2 linked regions of the Tribolium castaneum genome follow. The protein of the gene in region 1 binds, or shares a complex with, the protein of each later gene. Links are inferred from orthologs where the notes say so. Each region holds a gene or a part of one and is shown on either strand. Other genes may lie near its edges.

Region 1 (4,292 bases):
GCAATTATTAATTTGCTTCATCATGGGTTCAAGGCTAAACTCGCTATTGTCTTTAGTGCTGTATTTACTCAAAGTGCTATCAATGCTCCTACTGTCCCCACATTTCAATAAATCGCCCTCCAAAGCCTCCAAACATTGACTATCGACGTAATGGGTCGCTATCCCAGCTTTGAGGAGGTCGACCCCTTTGAGGCGGTACCCCGTCAGGGCTAGAAACAGCCCCAGTTTGCCCCTTAACCGCGGGAGGAAGTAGGAGCCCCCAACGTCGGGGAAGAGCCCGATTTGCGTCTCCGGCATCGCAAAGACCGAGCGTTCGGTGGCCACGCGATAAGGGCCATGGACTGAGAGCCCCACGCCGCCCCCCATGACAATCCCGTCAATAAATGCAATGTACGGGACTTTGTAAGTACCAATAAGTCCGTCAGTTTTGTACTCTTGTTTAAAAAAGGCATGGCCCAGTTTTTCCCCCTTCATACCAGCCAAGGCTATGGATTTAACGTCGCCCCCGGCGCAAAAGGCCTTGCCCCCAGCCCCCTTGATAATGACAAGGCTCTTCTCGCTCTCCCATTGCACCAAAGTGGGGTACAATTTATTTACCATTGAGAGGTTTAACGCATTAAGGGCCTTGGGTCGATTCAAAGTTATCACCCCTTTATCTCCCACGTTATCAAAGATTACGTCATCGGCAACACTTGACATTTTTCGCAAGACGGTGGGGCTCAAGACGAACAAGTTCTTGCACAAGTTTGAGGTTAAGATGAAGCTTTTCTGCAACTGCAAGTAAGGGGTCAAGGAGCGATAATTATACAGTGCTGGAGTCCCATTACCATTTTGTATTGGTGCTACACTGAAGGTTTTCAAAAACACCAGACAAGGTCAAAGTTCACAAAGCACAAAATTACAATTTTCAAGCAATTTATAGGCAAGAAGACACTGATTAGGGAATCACATGTTATTATTAAGCCAAACTGTGGCGAAATTACTGATAACGAAGCGACTTGGCTCGAATTTTAAAATTTAAAAACCTGTCAAATTTTGAAAATTATTTTCAAACACAATTCGCCAGGGAAACAACAAATCACAGGTGTGAGGACAAAAGTATTGCGACAAAACCTGTTATTTTCTACCTTTGAGACAAGTTGTAATTGGGCCACTATGTATATTAGGCACCTCACAAAAAGCACAATTTCCGCGTTGTCAGCTCTTCGCTTCAATTGCAATGATAAAAACCAACATTCACTCACCTAATTTAAGTAATTTTTGCAATTGTAGTACGGATTAGCGATAATATTAAAAAAAAAAAACGGTTTAGGCAACCAACAATACGCCAACTGACAGTTGAGGTTAAGTCACGTCGCTGACAGCTTCCACTTTTAAAGTTTTATAATTAGTGCTGAAGTAAACAATCTAGTGGACGCTTTGGGCTGTTACAATGGGCGGCAAGCACAAGCCCGCCCAAAGAATCAAGAACAATGCGAGGGTAAGTGCCCCAGCAGCCCCCTCTCGAATGACACCTGGTCCTGCAGCCTTCCAGCAGTGGGCGCAGCGCCGAGTTGCTGGCGTCCTCCTCACAAGTGCCCCAATTCGCCGCAGTTAAGGAGATCCGGTTTGTGCCCCCGACCCTGTCTTTGCTCAAAACGGAGGAATTTGACTCGTCCGTGTCGCCAGCGTTTCAGATCGTATTCAAGAAAATGAACAAAAAGGACTGCACCACTAAATTAAAAGTAGCGTAAAGAGTGAGATTTGGGTGCTTAATTGAGTGGTTTAGGCCTTGCAGGAGTTTTGCGACCTAATCGCGAGTTCCGAGGCGGAGGCTGTTAAGACGATCTTGGCGTTTTGGGCCACGCTGTATAGCATTTTGGCCACCGACACGGATCATAGGGTGCGGGAGGCGGTGCACAACGCCCACCATCAAATCATTTTGAAGGATAAAAAAATGATAGCCCCCTTTTTGAAACAGTTGATAGGGCCCTGGTTCACCTCACAGTATGATAATTATCCGCCGGCGGCCACGGCCGCGTCTAAAGCTTTCAACGTAATGATTTCTCAATTTCTTTTCAAATTTCTGAATTAAATTTTAGGCCGCGTTTCCGCAAAACAAGGTCCAGGATTGTGTGGTGTTTTGCCAAAAGGAAATCTTGACGTACATTTACGATAATTTGACTTCGAAAATTGAATCTAATCCTAAACATGGCACAAATGAGGATGCTGAAGCGAAATTTGAGAGAATCATTATTTCGAGTCTTCAAGGCTACTGCCTCTATTTGAATACACTGACTCAGGAACAGATCGAGAAAAGTGAGGATTTGAACAAGCAAATTATAAGTAATTCAAGGTTTCTTAAATTGGCAACGCATAAAACGGCACAAATTCGGGCCACTTGGTTCAAAGCCGTTGCGATTTTGTACCAAAAAGCCCCATTTTTGTTAGAAGAGGAACATAAGAATTTTGTTCCGGTTGTTTTCAATAATTTGGATGAGAGTGAACCCCCTGTTGTGGGTTCTGTGTGGGATGCGGCTTTGCTCATTATGGATTTAGGACAGGTATGGATTTTATCACAGCTTCCTTTTTTTCTGGACTTAAAAAATGTAATAATTTGAATTGGGTAGTAATAAAGTGATCAGTAATAAATCGATTTTGATCAGTAAAAAATAATAAATAATCAGTATTTAATTCATTTTTGCAGTAAAAAAATAGTATATGCACAGTATCTAGTTTCAGTTTGCACAGTTTAAATAATAAACGCTCAGTAGCTAGCTTGCAGACTGGGGCTTCGCCCTAGCGACCTAAGAGCAAACATACCCCTCCAACGTTTAAACTCGAAAATGTAAATCTCGAAATGTGAAATTCTACACTCTTTAGTTTTGAGATGCCATTACTTACTGTGCATTTATTATTTTTACTCCGCATTTATCATTTTTACTGTGCATTTACTGTTTTTACTGTTCATTTATTATTTTACTCTGCAATTATTATTTTTACTGTGCATCACTTTTACTGTGCATTTATTATTTTAATTTTGCATCTATCATTTTTACTGTGCATTTATTATTTTTACTTTGCATCTATCACTTCAACTGTGCATTTATTATGTATACTGTGCATTTACTACTTTTACTGTGCATCTATCATTTTTACTGTGCATTTATTATTTTAACTTTGCATCTATCATTTTTACTGTGCATTTATTATTTTAATTTTGCATCTATCATTTTTACTGTGCATTTATTATTTTTACTTTGCATCTATCACTTCTACTGTGCATTTATTATGTTTACTGTGCATTTACTACTTTTACTGTGCATCTATCATTTTTACTGTGCATTTATTATTTTAACTTTGCATCTATCATTTTTACTGTGCATTTATTATTTTAACTTTGCATCTATCATTTTTACTAATCATTTATTATTTTAATTTTGCATCTATCATTTTTACTGTGCATTTATTTTTACTTTGCATCTATCATTTTTACTGTGCATTTACTATTTTAACTTTGCATCTATCATTTTTACTGTGCATTTATCATTTTTACTTTGCATCTATTATTTTTACTGTGCATTTATTATTTTCACTGTGCAATTATTATGTTTACTGTGCATTTACTACTTTTACTATGCATTTAATATTTTCACTGTGCTTTTATTATTTTTATTTTGCATCTATCATTTTTACTGTGCATTTATCATTTTTACTTTGCATATATCACTTTTATTATTTTTACTTTGCATCTATTATTTTTTCTGTGCATTTATTATTTTTACTGTGCATTTATTACTTTTACTATGCATTTAATATTTTCACTGTGCTTTTATTAATTTTATTTTGCATCTATCATTTTTACTGTGCATTTATTATTTTAACTGTGTATTTATTATTTTTACTGTGCATTTACTACTTTTATTATGCATTTACTATTTTTACTGTGCATTTATTATTTTTACTGTGCATTTACTGTTTTTACTGTTCATTTATTATTTTACTGTGCATTTATTATTTTTACTTTGCATCTATCACTTTTATTATTTTTACTTTGCATCTATTATTTTTACTGTGCATTTATTATTTTAACTTTGCATCTATCATTTTTAATGTGCATTTATTATGTTTACTAAGCATTTACTATTTTTACTATGCATTTAATATTTTCACTGTGCATTTATTACTTTTACTATGCATTTAATATTTTCACTGTGCTTTTATTAATTTTATTTTGCATCTATCATTTTTACTGTGCATTTATTATTTTAACTTTGCATCTATCATTTTTACTGTGCATTTATTATTTTAAC
Region 2 (4,399 bases), on another chromosome or scaffold:
TCAGTTTGCTTTTCTGTCCCCGTTTCGTTTGCTTATTATTCGTTTCTTCTTTACGTTCATCTGCAAATCAATTTTAAAATACGAATCATAAAAAACCAAAAACTACTTTTCGCATCATTTTTCGGTTGTTTGGTTTTCGATTCACTGGTATTTCTCGACCTTTGATTCGGTTTAACCACAACCGGTTTATTATCTCCTAAATACACAACAGTTTCGTTCTCATCCGTTTCATCATTTCTTATCACAGGCTCTGTCAAAATGTTGATTCTAAAAAGTCAAACGTTAAACCACTCGGCAAACGCCTCGGGTCACACTACAAACTTCGTTCCTTCAAAATGTTGGATCTTGATTTGAGTGTCGGGAAATTTTGAACTTTCCTCATCCTCGGAGGAGCTACTGTTTTCTTCATTTTCAATTTCCTTATCTGCTGCACTTTTCACTTCCTCCTTGTTTTCCTCATCGCTTTCATCAAGCACCTCAACTTCCACCTCATCCTTATTCTCGCTCTCAACAGTTTCTACAAAATCTTCTTCGCCTGGCGCTATGACTCTTCTTTCATCCTTGTGTTTCTCAATGCAACTTTCTTCCAATTTAAACAAAAAGCTTAGACCTAGGATCAAGTGTGATAGGGGGAGGAAATTTTTCTTGCCCCTAATCATGAAACTACCGGTACTTAAATACTCTCCGGTTGGAGCTGTCTTACTGACTTGCTCCCCCCAGACCCAGTAGGCGTTAGTTACGACTTTTGCGTCCCAAGCAACACTAAAAAATTATAAAAAAAATAGCAAAACTTTTAATAAGTTACACTGACTAACCTGTAACAAATAGCCATAGTTCCAGCCTCGTTCAAGGTTTTAGGCGGCACTGCTTGACCTGAAGGGTTTTTTATAACAACACTACTAGCACCATGGACATCAGCATGCACATAGACATCGGTCGATTTCATGTAGCGTTTGACAATCAACTCGTTTTGTTGCTGGTCTCGCCCAGCTATAACCAAGTAATTTTCCGAGCTTATAAACCAGAAGAATTTCTCAAACCAGTACACTTTACGAGCTTTATTAATATTTGTGATTGTTTGGACCTAAAAAAACAATTAACAATGTCACCCTGTGATAGCAATATCTTACGTCTTTCAAAGTTTGTTTGGTTTTCTTTTCAGCTGACTTGAACGCTTTGCTTTGCGATTCTATTGTTTTTTGTTGTTTTTTAGCCGCATTTCGCTTTTGGTCATAATATCGTCTCCCGTTAGCAAAAGCCGATAAATCCAAGTCCACATCTACCACCATGGGTGGTATTTTATCGTCATTATCTTCGTCGTCTGACTCACTATCATCTTCAGCGTAAGGGTCAGTAAGATACAGGCTAATGTGGTTAGTTTCCAGCTTTAATTCTTTGATACGCTGGGCGATTTCGTCGCCTTGTGAGGCAGCTTCTTTGATCAAATCGGCCAAGTCAGACCACGAAATCTATAAATAAATCAGTAAAAACTAATTTAACCAATGACTTAAGTTTAATTTACCTGAGTGGCTAAAGCCGTCTGGACCGCCAGAATAGCCTTATCAACAAGCTCCTGATTTCTCGTAATGAGCTCAGCTTTCTGTTTGTCAATTTCTTGTGTTTTTTCTAGAGCAAGTAATCTCTGACTGTGATCCTTCTTCACATTTTCTAATTTCTTCAGAGCTTCCCGTTCTTGTTGTAAAGCTTTCAATTCAAGTTTTTGGCTTTCCAAAGATGAGAAAAACTCATCAACGGCTGAGTTAAACGAGGGAAATTCTTTGGAAATTGACGATTTATGTTGTTCGTACAGAACTGGATGAAATTCCTGATTTGAGTAATAATATTCTTTCTCAGAGTTATCAGCACTCACTACCCTTTCTTCCTTTTTTTGAATTATGTAACCCTGATTATAAAAAAATATAAAAATTTGTATAAAAGACTGTGAGGCCATATTACCTTAAAACCCGTTTTTTTGGCCTCTGAGAAAAGATTTTCGGCTTCTTCAAGAGCGCAGAGAACCTTATCGACATCACTTTCGATATTAAATGTTTTTCCGATTTTGGTGCTATTTGAAAAACCTTGTTTAAGTAACACATGCTCGATGAGAGGAGGGCCATATTCTAGATATAAAAGTTAATAAAAAATCGTAAAAATCGCCAATTTTCACCTAAATTCGGAACGAGCACTTTTTTCAATTGATCTCCGTTTTTCGCAGCCTTTAAAAGTTGAACCAGCTCATCTCTTGTGATTAAACTGCTCTGCCTAGCCCTATCCTGAGGGTACTTTTCCCTGACCACAAACTTAAACCTGTCGCCTTCAGTATGCGGTCGCAGGACATTTAATATCGTGAATTCGAAATCAGTCAAGATGATATTGCCTTTATCGTACAGCTCTAGAATAACATGATACGCAGCTTCGCCTGAACCAAATTGGAAATCGACAATTCTGTCTGTGCCCAGTTGAGCCAAACTCTCCAAGCGTTTATTTTTCAAGTGCTTTCTTAATTTCATGCTGAACCCCGAAGGGGCGACATTTTTGGGCCATTCAAAGCCGGTTTCGTGAAACCTATTGCCTGATTCTAGCAGAATTACCGCTTTTTCTTCACTTCTTTGGAGTCTTATCAGGTAAGTCTTATTGTCAATATCGTAGACGTTGTTCACTCGCATTCCGACACATCTGCAAATTAGAAATAAGTGCCAAAAGAACAATCTTACAGAAAAATACTTTTGGAGTTCTGTGACGGTGCAAATAATATCGAAGGTGTTGAACCGAGTTTTCATTTTGAAAACGGCAAGTTTTTATTTTTTGTTGCTTCCAGCGGAACAAAATTTGACCACGTTGTGTAATTTTATTACACCTGGTGCACAAAAAAATAAAAACACTCAGCTGGGTTTGACGTCTGGCAGGTGGGACAACGCTAGCGCCACCCGTCACTGGGTAAAGTTATGCCCACTTGTGTAATTTGTTATGTAACACGAATTTGGGACCAGTATTATTATTAAAAAACGATTTGAAGAAGTGCCAAACTGTTTTAGTTTTTATTGTAACATTTATTCCGGTTATTTGAGGGCAGGTTCCTGGTTTATCGACTCGTTTTCGTTTGTTTGGCGCTGTGGTCGCAGCACCCCTAGCTTTCGCTTGCTTGATTTTTTCATTTCCAGTTCCAGTTCTCGTCAGACCCTCGAGTTGTTAGTTCTGTTCTGTTTAGTTGAGTGTTGGTGTGTGCAAGCTCTCTTTAAAATGTTCGTGTATTAATTTTTTCGTGATTATTTTCTCTACCGAAATGAATGTTTCCCCGCTGTAAGGATTAGTAACAATGCAGGAATTAAATTTTACTTCAACGAGTAAGTGGAATTTTCGCAACCCCTGTATTTTTAAGGGCGGCATTGACATTTGCTGAATTAACACGGGGTTTTTTGCACTCCTATTAATTCAAAGAACAGTTTTTTTGAAAAGAAACGGTAATTTTTTTCAAAATTATATTTTTTAAGTGAAAAAAATAATAAATTGCGATGGGAGTGGGTGCAGTTGTTTTTCGTTTTTTATAGCACACACCTAGGGATGGGGTTTGTTTAGTGGTTTACATTGCCCTCGAGATTTGGCACACATTTTGCCCCATTTAGGTAAATGGGGGAGGGTTTAGAAAAATTATGATTGTCGATTTATGCATGCGAACACAGTGGGGTTCAAAAGGGCGTATTCGTCACCAAAAAGATAAAAATTATGCTCGCAATTACAGAACGAAATAATAAAATTCAATAGCTATCCAGACAATATTTTTGTATTAGAAATAAAATATGTCAATCTGCGTGATTCAAAAACCAGGTTTTTAAAAAACAATTATCTCTAGAAGGGCAATTTTCATCCCTTTCCCCGACTGGATTATTTGTTTAATCCCCTTTGTAGCCAAACTTTTAAATTTTGATTCATTCGTTTTTTATGATCTCGGCTCAGTTTATTGTTTACATTATCTTGGGAATTAAAATTTTCATTGTGAGGAAAAATCGCAATGAAATTTTTTCTGGCAACACGGAAATTATGAATGATTAAAAAAACTGGTGCTTAAGTGGGGTTGGTAGAAAGGAAAATTTACTTCTGTCTCACAGCTGCTAAAACATACGATAAATAAAATTTATTTCCTCAGTTGGCCACGGACCAAGATTGATTCGTACAAATTTTATTTCTTTCCGAACATCAAGTTAAAAATAGCTTAGAATTGATTATACCTTTGGTATAAATAGGTTTTTCAAGAAGTCGAACTGCTATTTCGTTGGTTTTTGCTTTATGTATATTAAAAGATTTCATTGACCTCACATATTATAATAAGACTTTTCGAGATTTCGACTGAATGTGACCTACGTTTTGGAATTAAATATTTATGTTTGGTGTTATTAAAAAA

Evidence for each region.
Region 2: Ltn1 (region 1) and Clbn share a complex: the UniProt entries of both Drosophila melanogaster proteins name them as parts of the ribosome quality control complex. The link is inferred for Tribolium castaneum from reciprocal best matches to the Drosophila melanogaster genes Ltn1 and Clbn.

What each region holds. Positions count from the first base shown.
Region 1 is NC_087400.1:8,607,284-8,611,575, forward strand, and holds the start of Ltn1 (E3 ubiquitin-protein ligase listerin), read left to right. Parts: upstream 1-1,339; 5' UTR 1,340-1,432; coding exon 1,433-1,480; intron 1,481-1,526; coding exon 1,527-1,724; intron 1,725-1,768; coding exon 1,769-2,035; intron 2,036-2,081; coding exon 2,082-2,543; intron 2,544-4,292. Other genes in the region: Hibch (3-hydroxyisobutyryl-CoA hydrolase, mitochondrial), read right to left, coding at 1-774, 828-830. UniProt on the Drosophila melanogaster protein: E3 ubiquitin-protein ligase component of the ribosome quality control complex (RQC), a ribosome-associated complex that mediates ubiquitination and extraction of incompletely synthesized nascent chains for proteasomal degradation.
Region 2 is NC_087396.1:12,785,003-12,789,401, reverse strand, and holds the start of Clbn (ribosome quality control complex subunit NEMF homolog), read right to left. Parts: upstream 2,937-4,399; 5' UTR 2,781-2,936; coding exon 2,725-2,780; intron 2,677-2,724; coding exon 2,168-2,676; intron 2,121-2,167; coding exon 1,957-2,120; intron 1,904-1,956; coding exon 1,523-1,903; intron 1,470-1,522; coding exon 1,131-1,469; intron 1,085-1,130; coding exon 816-1,084; intron 763-815; coding exon 322-762; intron 268-321; coding exon 107-267; intron 61-106; coding exon 1-60. Other genes in the region: Myo81F (myosin-I heavy chain), read left to right, coding at 3,317-3,344. UniProt on the Drosophila melanogaster protein: Key component of the ribosome quality control complex (RQC), a ribosome-associated complex that mediates the extraction of incompletely synthesized nascent chains from stalled ribosomes as well as their ubiquitin-mediated proteasomal degradation.